2 linked regions of the Xenopus tropicalis genome follow. The protein of the gene in region 1 binds, or shares a complex with, the protein of each later gene. Links are inferred from orthologs where the notes say so. Each region holds a gene or a part of one and is shown in the gene's direction. Other genes may lie near its edges.

Region 1 (6,316 bases):
CTAGGGCTGAATTACCATAGCAAGTTAATTTGCAGGCCTAAAAGCTGCAGAATGTAAGACAGTAGTTTTCATACAACAACACAACATTGCTTGTGTCAGTGTTGCCCCTTCCAGCCTTGTTAATATTTATTGTTGTTTTAAATATTACAGACGGATGTCAGAATAAAGTTTGAGCACAGTGGGGAGAGAAGGTAAGCCAAAATCTGTTTTATTCATGTGCACTTATGCAAATATTTGAAGTGTTTCAGTCCCAGCAGATTTGAAGGAGAACAAAACCCCCCAGAGTTCTTCTGAACTGCACTACTGGTTACCCATTAAACAGCCTGTTTTCTGTAGCTGGTTCTAAAACGTTAAAGTAATATTGTCATGAACAAACATCAGTTAATAGAGCTTCTCCAGCAGAATCCTGCATTGAAATCTGTTTTTTAAAAAGCGCAAACAGATTTTTTTATATTTAATTTTGAAATTTCACATGGGGCTAGCCACTCCCTTACTTTCCCATGTCCCCTTAGCCATATGACTTGTACACTTATAAACTTCAGTCACACTTTACCGCTGTGCTGCAAGTTGGAGTGATATCACCCCCCTCCCTTTCTTCCCCAGCAGCCGGTCAGCAGAACAATGGGAAGGGAGCAAGATAGCAGCTACCTGACACCTGTATTGCTAAAAAGGGGTAGATATCAGAATAGCACTCAGCAGTAAATAATATTAGACCAGCTTGGGACTCCTCCAGTTACATAGGAGTAGCAGAAACAGTTCTAATGTGTAGAACTGGCTACACACCAATATTGCATCTTGAAAATTTGTTGGTTCAAGAATAAAATGTAAATGGTAGAGTACATTATAAACAGTGTAATTAAGAAATACAAAGTACACCATGTGGGGGAGGGCTCTGGAGGTACCAAGCTATAAAGAAGGGTTGAGTTCTCCTTTCAGAAGAAATGCTAGCTATGCTTTGGATGTCTAACAGGGTAATGGCAGTCATCTTTGCAATCACAGTTGCTTTTAACATCACTTGGATGTGTAGTGGTTTGAATAGTTAAACTGGGCATCTGTTTTCTGTCCTGGTATATGGTTTCTTGGTTACTAATAATAAAAGTTCCTATATGTTGCTTCTTACTGAACATTGGGAAAACGACTGGGTGATTGCCCCTTTTATAAATTTGTGTGTTGGATTAAGAGGAGTGTTACATGCTATTCCAAAATTAGTTGAATTCTGTTATTTTGCTCTATTTTTTTTTTTGTTTTGATGTTAAATAATGTTAGCCTTGTATTACAGTAAAATGTATTTAATAGTTATAACTATTTGAGTTTTGCCTCCTATTCCATTATTAAAATGGGAAAGCATTTATTATTAATAATAATTGTGTTCAGTCTGTTCATCAAATTGTTAGGGTATGTGGAACCTTAAAAATAACATATTAAGTTTCAGTTCTAAAGCTCCAAACTGCCCATGAAAACAAGGCTTTTCAAGCACAGTGATGCACAGTTTTGGTGTCCTAGATTTGATTCCATCCAGGGCACAGTCTTCAAAGACTTTCTGTGTTCTTCCCATGCTTGTATTTTTTTTTTCTGGGACAGTTTTCCTTCCACATTGCAAAAACATACAGACAGTTTACTTGATTAGATTGTAGTTTCCAATGGGACTGATGTTATAAGCTGGAGCTATATAAGTAAAGAATAATAACAATCGTTAAATAGAATTGGAGTGATAAGCCATCCAGTATGAATCAATCTACCAAGAGATGTTAAGGCCAAAATCTGTTTGTACTGGCACATCAAGCACCTTTTTTTAGAAGCATCAATGATCACCCCTTGACAAATACATATTAGATAACATAGAATAAAAATGCTTCAGATTTAACTTTAGCATCTTTATGTATAACATTATCATAAAATAAAGTATAATAGAGTCTCTTTAAGAGTCTTCTGTATGGTGATAACATAAGAAAAAGTTAAGGTAAAGTCTCCCAATGAATGGCCTGATTGTGAACTGGCATTGCTACGTGCCCTGGTTTCCCTCCTCCTCATGGTGTTTGCATTTACAGACAGGAGGAGTGAAATGGCCATGTGGTTGCTTGGAGTCTGCCAGGTCTAACCACAAATATGTAAGATGGCCGGAAAGTGAGCTGAGAGGATTTGGCTTTGGGGAGGCCTAGATAGGACTCTATAATACAGCATCGTGAAATTTAGCTCATTTCTATTTGGGATCCCAAAGTGCTTTTTAGTTTTAGCTGAATTTTCATCAAAGGCTGATACAAAATATTTCAGGAATGTTCCGTGTGGTTTCTTTTCTTTCCAAATAATGTATCCCAAACAGGATTAAATAAAACATGGCGGCTGTAGTTTTTACAACTGTGCCAGCCTATGAATTAAATATGAATGCAGTTCTTATGTTAGTATACTTAAGCTAGTAGCACACAGGGTGTTTTAATCATCTGTCAAAATGCTTTTTAGCAGCAGCTTTTCGTCATACTGAATAGAGAGGATGGCTGCCCTATGGCACTTTCCATATCCAGTAGGAGGTTAACTGGCTGCAGCAATGAAAAATGAAGGTGTGCCATCACCCTTAATGCAGCAAAATCCAGGCAGACTTGTCCCATAACTGACAATGCAGATAACTGAATAGTATTGTTCCTCTCATTTCAGCTGATATCTCAGTAGAGGGGGTCTGTAAAAGAGGGAGATGTGATTTAATTCAATTCTGCATGTGTCAAGATGACATTCAGTTTGGCCAGATTTACTGAAATCCAGTTGATAGAGAATCAGTAGTAGAGCACCTGTACCTAAAAGACCATTTCAACAGATATGCATTTTTGTCAATAGAATTTACTTGAGCAAGAGTAGAGGTATAAAGGGGAGCCATACAAAGAGTGAGCTTTGTACTATATTTTCCCTAGATTTGCAGCCTTTACAATTTATTTTTCAAATCCGATTTCTTCAAATATTCTCTTTCCCACTTCTCTGATTTTGTGAATTGCCTTTTTTTAGAATCCTACAGTTTTCTAGGCCTGTAAAGTTTGAAGAGGTGGAACAGAAAGTAAAGAATGTCTTTGGGCAACAGCTGGATCTCTATTACATGAACAATGAGGTAGGTAAATCAGCACAAGAGACGTGGAGTTTCAGATGTGCACAAATACAGTTACTCGTGGGATGAATAGACTTTGATCACATACGGAGCAATGGAGACCGAGTGCTTCTCCCCATTGGTCCATATGTGAGCTAAGTGGGTGCATATGCATGCGCATGGGGAGAGTGGGGGGGAGGTAGGTGGGCAGAGAAAGGTGACAGCCTCGGGCTGCCAGCCCTGGCTCCACATAGGACTATTTTGTTGCTGCCCATATTCGAATGAAGAGCTGACATGTTCATTGTGATTCTGATTTAGCTACAGATTATATCTAGCCCTGCCCTATATAAAGCTGTGCCTTCTCATAATAATAAAAGCACCCATAAAGACACTGTCATTGATTGCAATGTTTGACTTGTTAAAGCAAGTAAACAACACAGGCAACAACATGTGCACATTTTTTTTATTTATTATTTGTTATTATTATATTGCTTATACGTATACTCCGTGTTTTACATTAATGATAGACATTCACATCAATCCCTGCCCCAGTGGAGCTTACAGGCTAAGGTCCCTATATCTACACACACTAGGGTAAATTTTGCCAGAAGCCAGTTAACCCAATACTATTTTTTTAGGGACTTATAATTGAAATGAGTATATAAAATTGATAACTAGACATAAGTCAACCTGTTCTTCAGCATGTTAATTAAAAACTCTTAGCACCCCTAACAGCCCTTCACTGGTTGTGGGACAATGGGATTTTTCAACATTTAAAGGTATACTGGTGGATTCATTTTTTGATCAGTGGGCTTTAGTTTTTTTGTTTCTGTACTTATATCACACTGACCTCTCCTTATTAAACAGAAACATGTAAAGTATTAAGTATTATTATGAAGCTACGAAAAGGTTCAGTCACTCTGTGGAATAGTTCAGAGGAATAGAAGTAGTGGTACAAAGTTTCTTCAGGTCTTGCAAACAATCAGCAGTAAACAATGTCTTGGCTACTTCTTAATATTTAAAGAAAGCATCTTGTTGTTATGACTTTCACCAGCAAATGTGTTGGCAGTTGCCATTAGCCCCCATAGTTTAGTGATGTCATCAGTTATAATCAAATCTTACAGGCAAATTTATCAAAATGTGAAAGTAAAGCTCACCACAGAAGAAACTTACCCACTTTCTATTCAATCCTATGGGATTGAGTTCACCATTTGATAAATGTGCTTCTAAAATTCCCATAGAAATAAATAGAAAGTGGTACATTATTCACTTTATAAAGTCAGAGAAATGTCTGAAAAAAGACAGTGACAAAATGCAGACAAATCTCCAGGTCTTCATGGGTAGGTGTCATGGTGCACCTACATTTTAATATGTCCTTTAAATGCCATGTCATACAGGTCTTTTTTTACTTACTGTAGCTCTCCATTCCCCTCCGAAGTCAGGATGACCTGGACAAGGCTGTGGATCTTCTGGACCGGAGTTCCAGCATGAAAAGCCTCCGGATTTTGTTGCTTTCTCATGATAAGAATCATGTAAGACTTGAGTTGGGAAACTTTGGGTGATCTGTCTGTGGATGACTTATATCTGCCATAAAAGTAGTGCAGGGTATTTGAAGGCCTAGACCAGGGGTACCCACAGTTTGTCACCCTGTGGTCTACTCTTGCCATCTGGCCTCCATCATGAGATCTACTTTAATAAAAATAGTTGATGTTTAATACCTAAATACACATAGCAATATATATAAATGAAGTGTCAAATTCACATTTAATGCTCAGATAACATTATACAAGATCAACACAGCAGTATGGCTGCAGTCATAAGCTCTGTTATGTTGAGGCACAAAAGAAGTGGTGGGATGGCATCCCACCTTGTGGTCTACCAAAAACTTTAAAGTGATCTACTGGTAGACCACGCTCTACCTCTTGGCCACCCCTGGCCTAGACGTATCTCTTGACCAACTCAATTTACAGGGGCAGACAGATTCCTTTTATTATGCACCATATTGTGATGTAAAGGATGGTTATTAGGCAATTGATAAAAAAACATTCTGTAAAGCAAACAATCATTATATTATTTATTCTAAAAAGATATAGCTTTGTGATTACACAAGTGCAGCATCTTAGTTTTAGCCACTAGGACAGAAGAAAATGACTGCATCCTAGTACTAAGAAAGTATTATCTGCTGATGGCAATGTTAAGCCTCAAAGTGCAATGCAGCAAAAGATATCGGTAGAGGTGTTATTGTCCTCGCCCATGTAGGTTTTGTTCTGACTAGGTAATTACCATTATATTTCCTGCCAGTCTGTCATATAGAGAAAAGATAGTGATCTTCTACTATCCTCTATTTATTTTCTCAGAACTCTTGATCACTGGTGCAAACCAATTAAATTTCTCTTATGTCATGGGGGACACAGGAACATTGGGGTAAAGGGCCTCTCCCGCTAGGAGGCAGGACGCTGCAGTGATGTCAGAATTGTTGCTCCTCCCTCTCGCCTTTTACCCTCTTGCTTGGCTAGCAGAGCTCTGTTTTCAAAGTAGGTTAAGACTAGCCTCTAGAGAGGCTCTGCACAAGGACTACATTGGTCAGTGGTTAGCACTGACAACTGGGGTAAGACCAGAGTCAGCAACTTGTTTGCACTCAGAATGTCAGCCCCTTTTGCAGGATTCCACTACTGTGCCCAGGTTATCCCTGAAGTTCCAGTAGGTAACCCCAGGCCTGGATTTGTGGAAAGGCCACAAAGGCCCGGGCCTAGGGCGGCACAAGTTTAGGGGCGGCATGCCGCCCCGCCGCAACAGAATTTTTAAATTTGGCTCCCATACGGAGCAGTCAGGACCTCTCCCCACTGCTCCGTATGGGAGTTTAAATGTGCGATTGCGCATGCGCGTTGATCGCGCATGTGCACTCAGGGGGAGAGGGCGCCGCGCGTTCGGGGCGGGGGCGGTCTCGGGGCGCCGAGAACTTAAATCCGGCCCTGGGTAACCTATTTGGGCAAAAGAATGTAATGGCAGAGTCTGGGGTGCCCCTTACTGGACAGGAAGAGACGAGTGCTATTCGCTGGTTCTCTCCACTGAGGTAAGCGGGCTCACTTCCCCTCCCTCCCCTGCCTTCAGTTAGCATGCGCCATTAGCTTCTCACGCGATGATGATATCATGGCTTCCCGCCTGCCACTTCCAGACGTGATCTAGTCAGAAAAGGCGGGTCTTCCTTCTTCACGCACACCCTGACACAGGCACAGCTTTGATTCCTCT
Region 2 (6,205 bases), on another chromosome or scaffold:
GTGTGGGTTTCCTCATACACCCCAAAAACATACAGGCAGGTTAGCTCCAATAGAATCGACCCCATTGTGTATGCAACGGTGATAGATTGTAAGCTCCATTGGTGCAGGGACTGATGGGAATGATTTATATTCTCTGTGGAATGTGTCGGTGCTATATAAATGAAGGATATATATTTTCTTTTATAAATAAAGGATAATAATGAGCTTTCTCTGGTTTTTGCAGATGACTCTTCCACCAAAGTGGATGTGAAGGAAGCGTATGAGCTGGAAGCCAGCACCTTGTAAGTCATCTCCGGGAATCGGTATTTTTCAGATGCTGACAACTCCCACATGCCATAAGGTTTCATTAGGAAGCAATGGGAGTTCAAGATGGCGAAATAAAGAATATGAAGCAGTTGCGCGCCCCCTGCTGTTCTGCTTGGCTGGCCATTCATCCTTACTGAGTAGAGTAGTGCCTCCTGATGCTTTGCTGCTCAGATTTATCACTCGGCTGACAGTGAGCAGAAAGGGGCAGTAGAGTTGGCCAGTCCCCAGAGTTAATAAAGCCACTTCCAAAGAACATTCTAGAAGGAAGTTATGTTTAGTGTGCCCTGTAGAGGGATAACACTGGTAGCTTTTCTTTTTTCCCTTTGCAGTTCTTTCCCTGAGTCTGTGGACGCCGATGGTAATTCCCCAACCTCCCTCTCCAATCTCCATTCCCCTAACAAGACGGCCAGTGAGAGTGAGCTGAGTGCCACTGCCGCCGAGCTGCTGCAGGACTACATGATGACGGTAAGAAGCCTCGCTGTATGTGTGCAGCATAATAGCGCCCCCTACTGTGTGCACCACTGCCCACCCCTCTCTCCTTGTATTTCCAGCTGAGGACTAAGCTCTCGTCGCAGGAGATCCAGCAGTTTGCGATGCTGCTTCACGAATACCGCAACGGCTCCTCAATTCACGAGTTCTGCATTAACCTACGGCAGCTGTATGGGGACAGCAGGAAGTTTCTGCTGCTCGGTAATGAGGCGCTGGGGGCGGGGCACACATCTGCAAAAATGTTTGCTTCTTACTATGTACTTGGACTTATTTTTTATATTGTTCATTTTGCCTTCAGTTTGTCATGGTACAAAGCTTTGTCTTTGCTTACTGACTGCTTTTGGGCTGCTCTCTTTCCTGTGGTCAGTTGGGAACAGAGCTTGGCTGGATGCTTTTCTTATTGACCCGTGTAAATGATCGGTTTGAACATTAGGGGAAGTCCATTCTTTATCTGCCATGCTATAATGATCAATGTACACTAGGCACCTCTTTCATTTGGATCCAAGCCCCATTTCTCATCCTGACCACGGGGAGGAGAGCAGCCTGAGGAAGTGACATAAATATTCTGTGCTGTGTAAGTAAAAAAAAAAAATACCATAGAGGTTCATGAGTGTTAACAGACAGTGTGTTTTTTTTTTTTTTATGCAGGGCTCCGCCCCTTCATCCCAGAGAAGGATAGCCAACATTTTGAGAACTTCCTAGAAACCATAGGGGTAAAAGACGGGCGCGGTATCATCACAGACAGCTTTGGGCGGTACAGGCGGACAATGAGTTCCACCTCCCATTCCACGACCAATGGAAATGGTGCAGCGGGGGGCTCGGATGACCAGTCGGGGCCCTCTGAAGGGGACGAGTGGGACCGGATGATTTCTGACATCAGTAATGACATTGAAGCCCTTGGCTGCTGCATGGACCAAGACCCTTCTCACGGGGGCGCTGTAAACTATTCGTGATTGGCTGGGCATGGACCCGGTCAGGTTTCCTCACCAGCATAAAGAACCAAATAAGCAAAAGATGGCGGCCGAGTTGCCACGTCGTTCTATTTTTTTATCGCGTTCTCTATGTAAAGCCAAGATTGTATCCCCAAGCACTGGCGCCATCATACGTGCCCAAGTTTTGGTTGGGCCGAAGCTCAGCGCAAGGTGGACTTGCCTCCGACGTGACCCAAAGCAGGAATTAAACTGCGTTTCCCGCCATTTCTACGGAAACGATGGACATTTCGTACGTCAGCGGACGGACCAGTACAATCTCTGGGCTGGCGGTTGTTACACTCGGACCGTACTATTTTCATGCATCAATAGAAGTCAACATTTACCACAATGTGAAGAACACAAAGCCGCGAGCAGCGCTGAAAGCGTTTGGACCAACGCCCGGTGACGGTCCCAGCGGCTTCCTTCCCATCAAGGCAACACTAATCCTGTACAGATATACGAGTGAGGGCTGTACAACAAACACACAGGAGACAGCAGCGGGCATCTCTCTGGCTCTTTTCCTCTCTGTGCCGTGCCGCCATCTCTAAGGATTTGCCAGCAATGCAGGAAAGTGCGTTTCTGCTGTTGCTTTACTGCAAATGTGAAAGGTCATTCATTGGCAGCTGCAGGGGCTGCCTGGGAAATCCTGGAAGATGGTGGCATGGCACTCACAGGAAATGTGCCCTGAGCAATGTGGAGCACTGGCCTAGGGGCCAAGGTTTGCGCTTATATTCACTGGGGGTAATTGCCCTCCCCCCGCCCCTTCTTTTCTGGGGATCATTACCTATTTTTATATTCTGTCTGTCACAGATACACAACCCCTAGATCCAGGGGAGTGCTGGGAGTTGTAATATGGCAGAAGCTGCTGCTCCAAAGGTGTCCAATCCCTGTTCCAATACATTCCTGGATCACCAGGGACAGGGGATAGGTTAGCCAATGCCCTTCGTGGAGGCGGCCATCTTTACTTGGGCTCCATGTTATATGGGCAGAGGGGTTTGCATAGAAACACAAGCTGTTTACAGGCATCGCCATGGATTGCTACACACGTAACACCCACAATGCATTGTGTTGCCACACGCTGCTCGCGCCGGAGTGCCAAGACATTTTGTGTTACAGAACCGAGGTTTTATTTTTCATTTTTGTATAATTATTTTGTTGCAGTGTTTTTATCTGCGTACGAGGCCTGCCCCAACTTCCTGCCATTGCCCCCCAGTCACTGTATAGATATTTATATCCCCTGACTTCTCGGTGCGGTGCAATGCAGCCCTCCGGCTCGGCCCCAGGCAGCCACACCCACATTCCAGCTATGAGTGCATCTGGCGCGTGGGTTCTCCTGTTACATCTGTATCCTGTTTATTTAGGGATAGACCTGTATCTCTTTCCATTGCAGAGCCACCCCTGGATATGTATTATGGTCTCTTCCAGAGGAAGCAGATACCTACTGACTTTCCAGCTGGGGGGCCACGGCCTCTCTTATTGCCCCTGCTTATATATGAATTGGGACTAGCATCACCCCCTTCCATGGCAGCAGTTCTGTTTAAAGGGGAAGTAAAGAATCTGATTTCTGCAGCTGGTTCTCATCTCTTTGAAGGGGCTGCAGCGTTCAGTGTGTAGGGGTGTCAGGAAGAGAATTGGGGAGGGGACTGTAACTATGGAACTGTGAGCATAGCATCAAGTCACAGAACTGCATGGTGTGTATCATTATAGAACACAGAGTAGGGGGCACTAACTAAAGGCAGGGAGGGGGTGGCAGTGGAAGGGGCTGTAACTGCGGGACAGTACAATATAATCTTCCCATCAGGCCTTGCATTGTCCAGCAGTGATGTTTTTGCTGTCCTAGAATCCTTTGCACCGTCCCCCCCCCCCCCCCCCATTCTGTTACAAGGTCAGACATGCAGGAAGCAGGGGAGACCCGTGGGGCAATTTGGTTTATTTGTGAGACGCACTGACTGTGTTACTGATGGGTGTGTGTAGTTGTGCGAGTGTCGGGAGCCAATAGGAATTGCCGTGTCTTTTTATTTTTGCAGCTTTGTGCATCATTTCTGTTTACCCTTTATGATTGGATACTTTTTGTATGTAGTATTTTTACCTGTAAATACATGCGTGCATCTAAAGGCTTCTGTGTGTTTGTTTTTTGTACCCCCAAATCTGGCTTCCCTGTTTGATTGCAAGCTCCTCGGTACACAGCATGTTCTGGGTTTATGGTAAGTACCAAGTGGAGCACAGATATGTGGGTGCATCTGAAGCATCCTGGCCAGCCATTAACATTATGGCACTTCCTTCAGTGGGGGAGATGGTTCTACTTAACTGAAGGGTAGGGGGCGCCCTTGGCTCTGCACTGTATTCATTATGCTGTAGGGAACGGTAATGTCATGTGTGGAGTAGAGACTTAACTGAAGAATTACACGCCCTCCCCTGGCTACAGACAGGGGGCAGTATATAGAAAAAATATATAGTCCCCAGCCCTACAGGGAGCCCTAGCTAACCCAGAAACCCCACCCCTAAGAGAAAGGAGTGGAGGTGTGGGCAACTGCCCCTTGCATAATACTCTGCCCATTGCTAAATGCAGGGGGTAAGGCGGGGGCAACAGGGCACAGCCCAAACATCTACCCCCTAGTGGAGGTAGGAGGATTAATTACAGTGGATTGGAGCTTTCCTGCCTACATTTCCTAAGGATGGGGCAATATGTAAGTCTCTCTGCCTGGGGGGGGGGGGGGTAGAACCCTGCCAGCAGCTCTCCCTACAGGGTGCAAGACCCATGGGTGAACTCTGCACTGATTCCCCTATTGTAAATGAAGCTGCCGTGTATCCTGCAGCAGTTGCTAATGAAGCTGCCGTGTATCCTGCAGCAGTTGCTAATGAAGCTGCCGTGTATCCTGCAGCAGTTGCTAATGAAGCTGCCATGTATCCTGCAGCAGTTGCTAATGAAGCTACCATGTATCCTGCAGCAGTTGCTAATGAAGCTGCCATGTATCCTGCAGCAGTTGCAAATGAAGCTGCCATGTATCCTGCAGCAGTTGCTAATGAAGCTGCCATGTGTCCTGCAGCAGTTGCTAATAAAGCTGCCATGTATCCTGCAGCAGTTGCTAATGAAGCTACCATGTATCCTGCAGCAGTTGCTGATGAAGCTGCCATGTATCCTGCAGCAGTTGCTAATAAAGCTGCCATGTATCCTGCAGCAGTTGCTAATGAAGCTACCATGTATCCTGCAGCAGTTGCTAATGAAGCTGCCATGTATCCTGCAGCAGTTGCTTACACTTGGTGTGGGACAGATTTAGCTGATGAGTCCCATTTGGGTATAGAATCCACTGGGCACACTTTGCTATGATTTACCCTTGAGCAACTGACATTTCCCATACTTGCCGCAACCTACTGGACAAACTGGAAATTACAATTAGCTTTATACAAGAGAGACTTGCCCTGCACACAGGTAGCCCTTTCTCCAGCTGAGCCGTACATATGGCCGCACAGCCGCTGTCAGACACTGTGATAGAAAGAGAGCCAAGCGGAAATGTGGGCTGAGAGAGTTTCTATCTTACTCTCCCCTAGTGATGCACTAAAGCACTCATTTGAGCAGTCACTATTTACTAACATTTCAGCTGCTTTTTGTGCATAAGTTTGGGGAATTTGCCATTTTTACAAAATTTTAAATATGTGGGGTTTTTCCTGTGATAATTTGTCAGGATAATGCCCCTCCCACAAGGTGCTGGTTCTCAAGAATCTGCCTTTCCCACACAGTGCAATGCCTCAAGTAGCACCCATCATATGATTCTCTGCTTCAGTGTAACACCCCTCCCATGAGGTGCTGGGCCTGAAGATAATGCCCCTCACACAGGGTGCTGGGCCTCAGGTTAACCCAGGATGCTAACCATACATAACAGTCCTGAGCTTCAGAATAGCACCTATACCTCGCAGTGCTGGGCTCTAGGAAGATAATCCTCCACAAGGTGCTGGGCCTCAGGATGACAACCTTTCTACAAGGTGCTGGGCCCAAAGATAACGTCCCTCCCACAAGGTGCTGGGCCCAAGGATAACGTCCCTCCCACAAGGTGCTGGGCCCAAGGATAACGCCCCTCCCACAAGGTGCTGGGCCCAAGGATAACGCCCCTCCCACAAGGTGCTGGGCCCAAGGATAACGCCCCTCCCACAAGGTGCTGGGCCCAAGGATAACGCCCCTCCCACAAGGTGCTGGGCCCAAGGATAACGCCCCTCCCACAAGGTGCTGGGCCCAAGGATAACGCCCCTCCCACAAGGTGCTGGGCCCAAGGATAACGCCCCTCCCACAAGGTGCTGGGCCCAAGGATAACGGCCCTCCCACAAGGTGCTGGGCCCAAGGATAACGGCCCTCCCACAAGGTGCTGGGCCCAAGGATAACGGCCCTCCCACAAGGTGCTGGGCCCAAGGATAACGCCCCTCCCACAAGGTGCTGGGCCTCAGGC

Evidence for each region. The genes of interacting proteins can lie anywhere in the genome.
Region 2: the proteins of map3k3 (region 1) and ccm2 are in contact, whole or in part, in a crystal structure (PDB 4Y5O), measured with the Homo sapiens proteins. The link is inferred for Xenopus tropicalis from reciprocal best matches to the Homo sapiens genes MAP3K3 and CCM2. Residues at the interface, in NP_002392.2 of Homo sapiens: Asp2, Glu3, Gln4, Ala6, Leu7, Ser9, Ile10, Met11, Asn12, Asp13, Leu14, Val15, Ala16, Leu17, Glu50, Asp82, His84, Met86, Asn88, Glu89, Leu90, Ser91, Ile92, Leu93, Arg117, Leu119, Leu121, Ser122, Gln123, Asp124; in NP_113631.1 of Homo sapiens: Leu299, Tyr302, Met303, Leu306, Arg307, Ser312, Gln313, Ile315, Gln316, Gln317, Phe318, Ala319, Ala320, Leu321, Leu322, His323, Glu324, Arg326, Glu333, Ile336, Asn337, Gln340, Leu341, Leu353, Phe356, Pro358.

Annotation. Positions count from the first base shown.
Region 1 is NC_030686.2:17,072,010-17,078,325, reverse strand, and holds part of map3k3 (mitogen-activated protein kinase kinase kinase 3), read left to right. Parts: intron 1-150; coding exon 151-191; intron 192-2,991; coding exon 2,992-3,091; intron 3,092-4,485; coding exon 4,486-4,599; intron 4,600-6,316. UniProt on the Homo sapiens protein: Component of a protein kinase signal transduction cascade. Mediates activation of the NF-kappa-B, AP1 and DDIT3 transcriptional regulators.
Region 2 is NC_030682.2:12,528,254-12,534,458, forward strand, and holds the end of ccm2 (cerebral cavernous malformations 2 protein), read left to right. Parts: intron 1-223; coding exon 224-281; intron 282-635; coding exon 636-771; intron 772-857; coding exon 858-996; intron 997-1,443; coding exon 1,444-1,748; 3' UTR 1,749-3,880; downstream 3,881-6,205. UniProt on the Homo sapiens protein: Component of the CCM signaling pathway which is a crucial regulator of heart and vessel formation and integrity. May act through the stabilization of endothelial cell junctions. May function as a scaffold protein for MAP2K3-MAP3K3 signaling.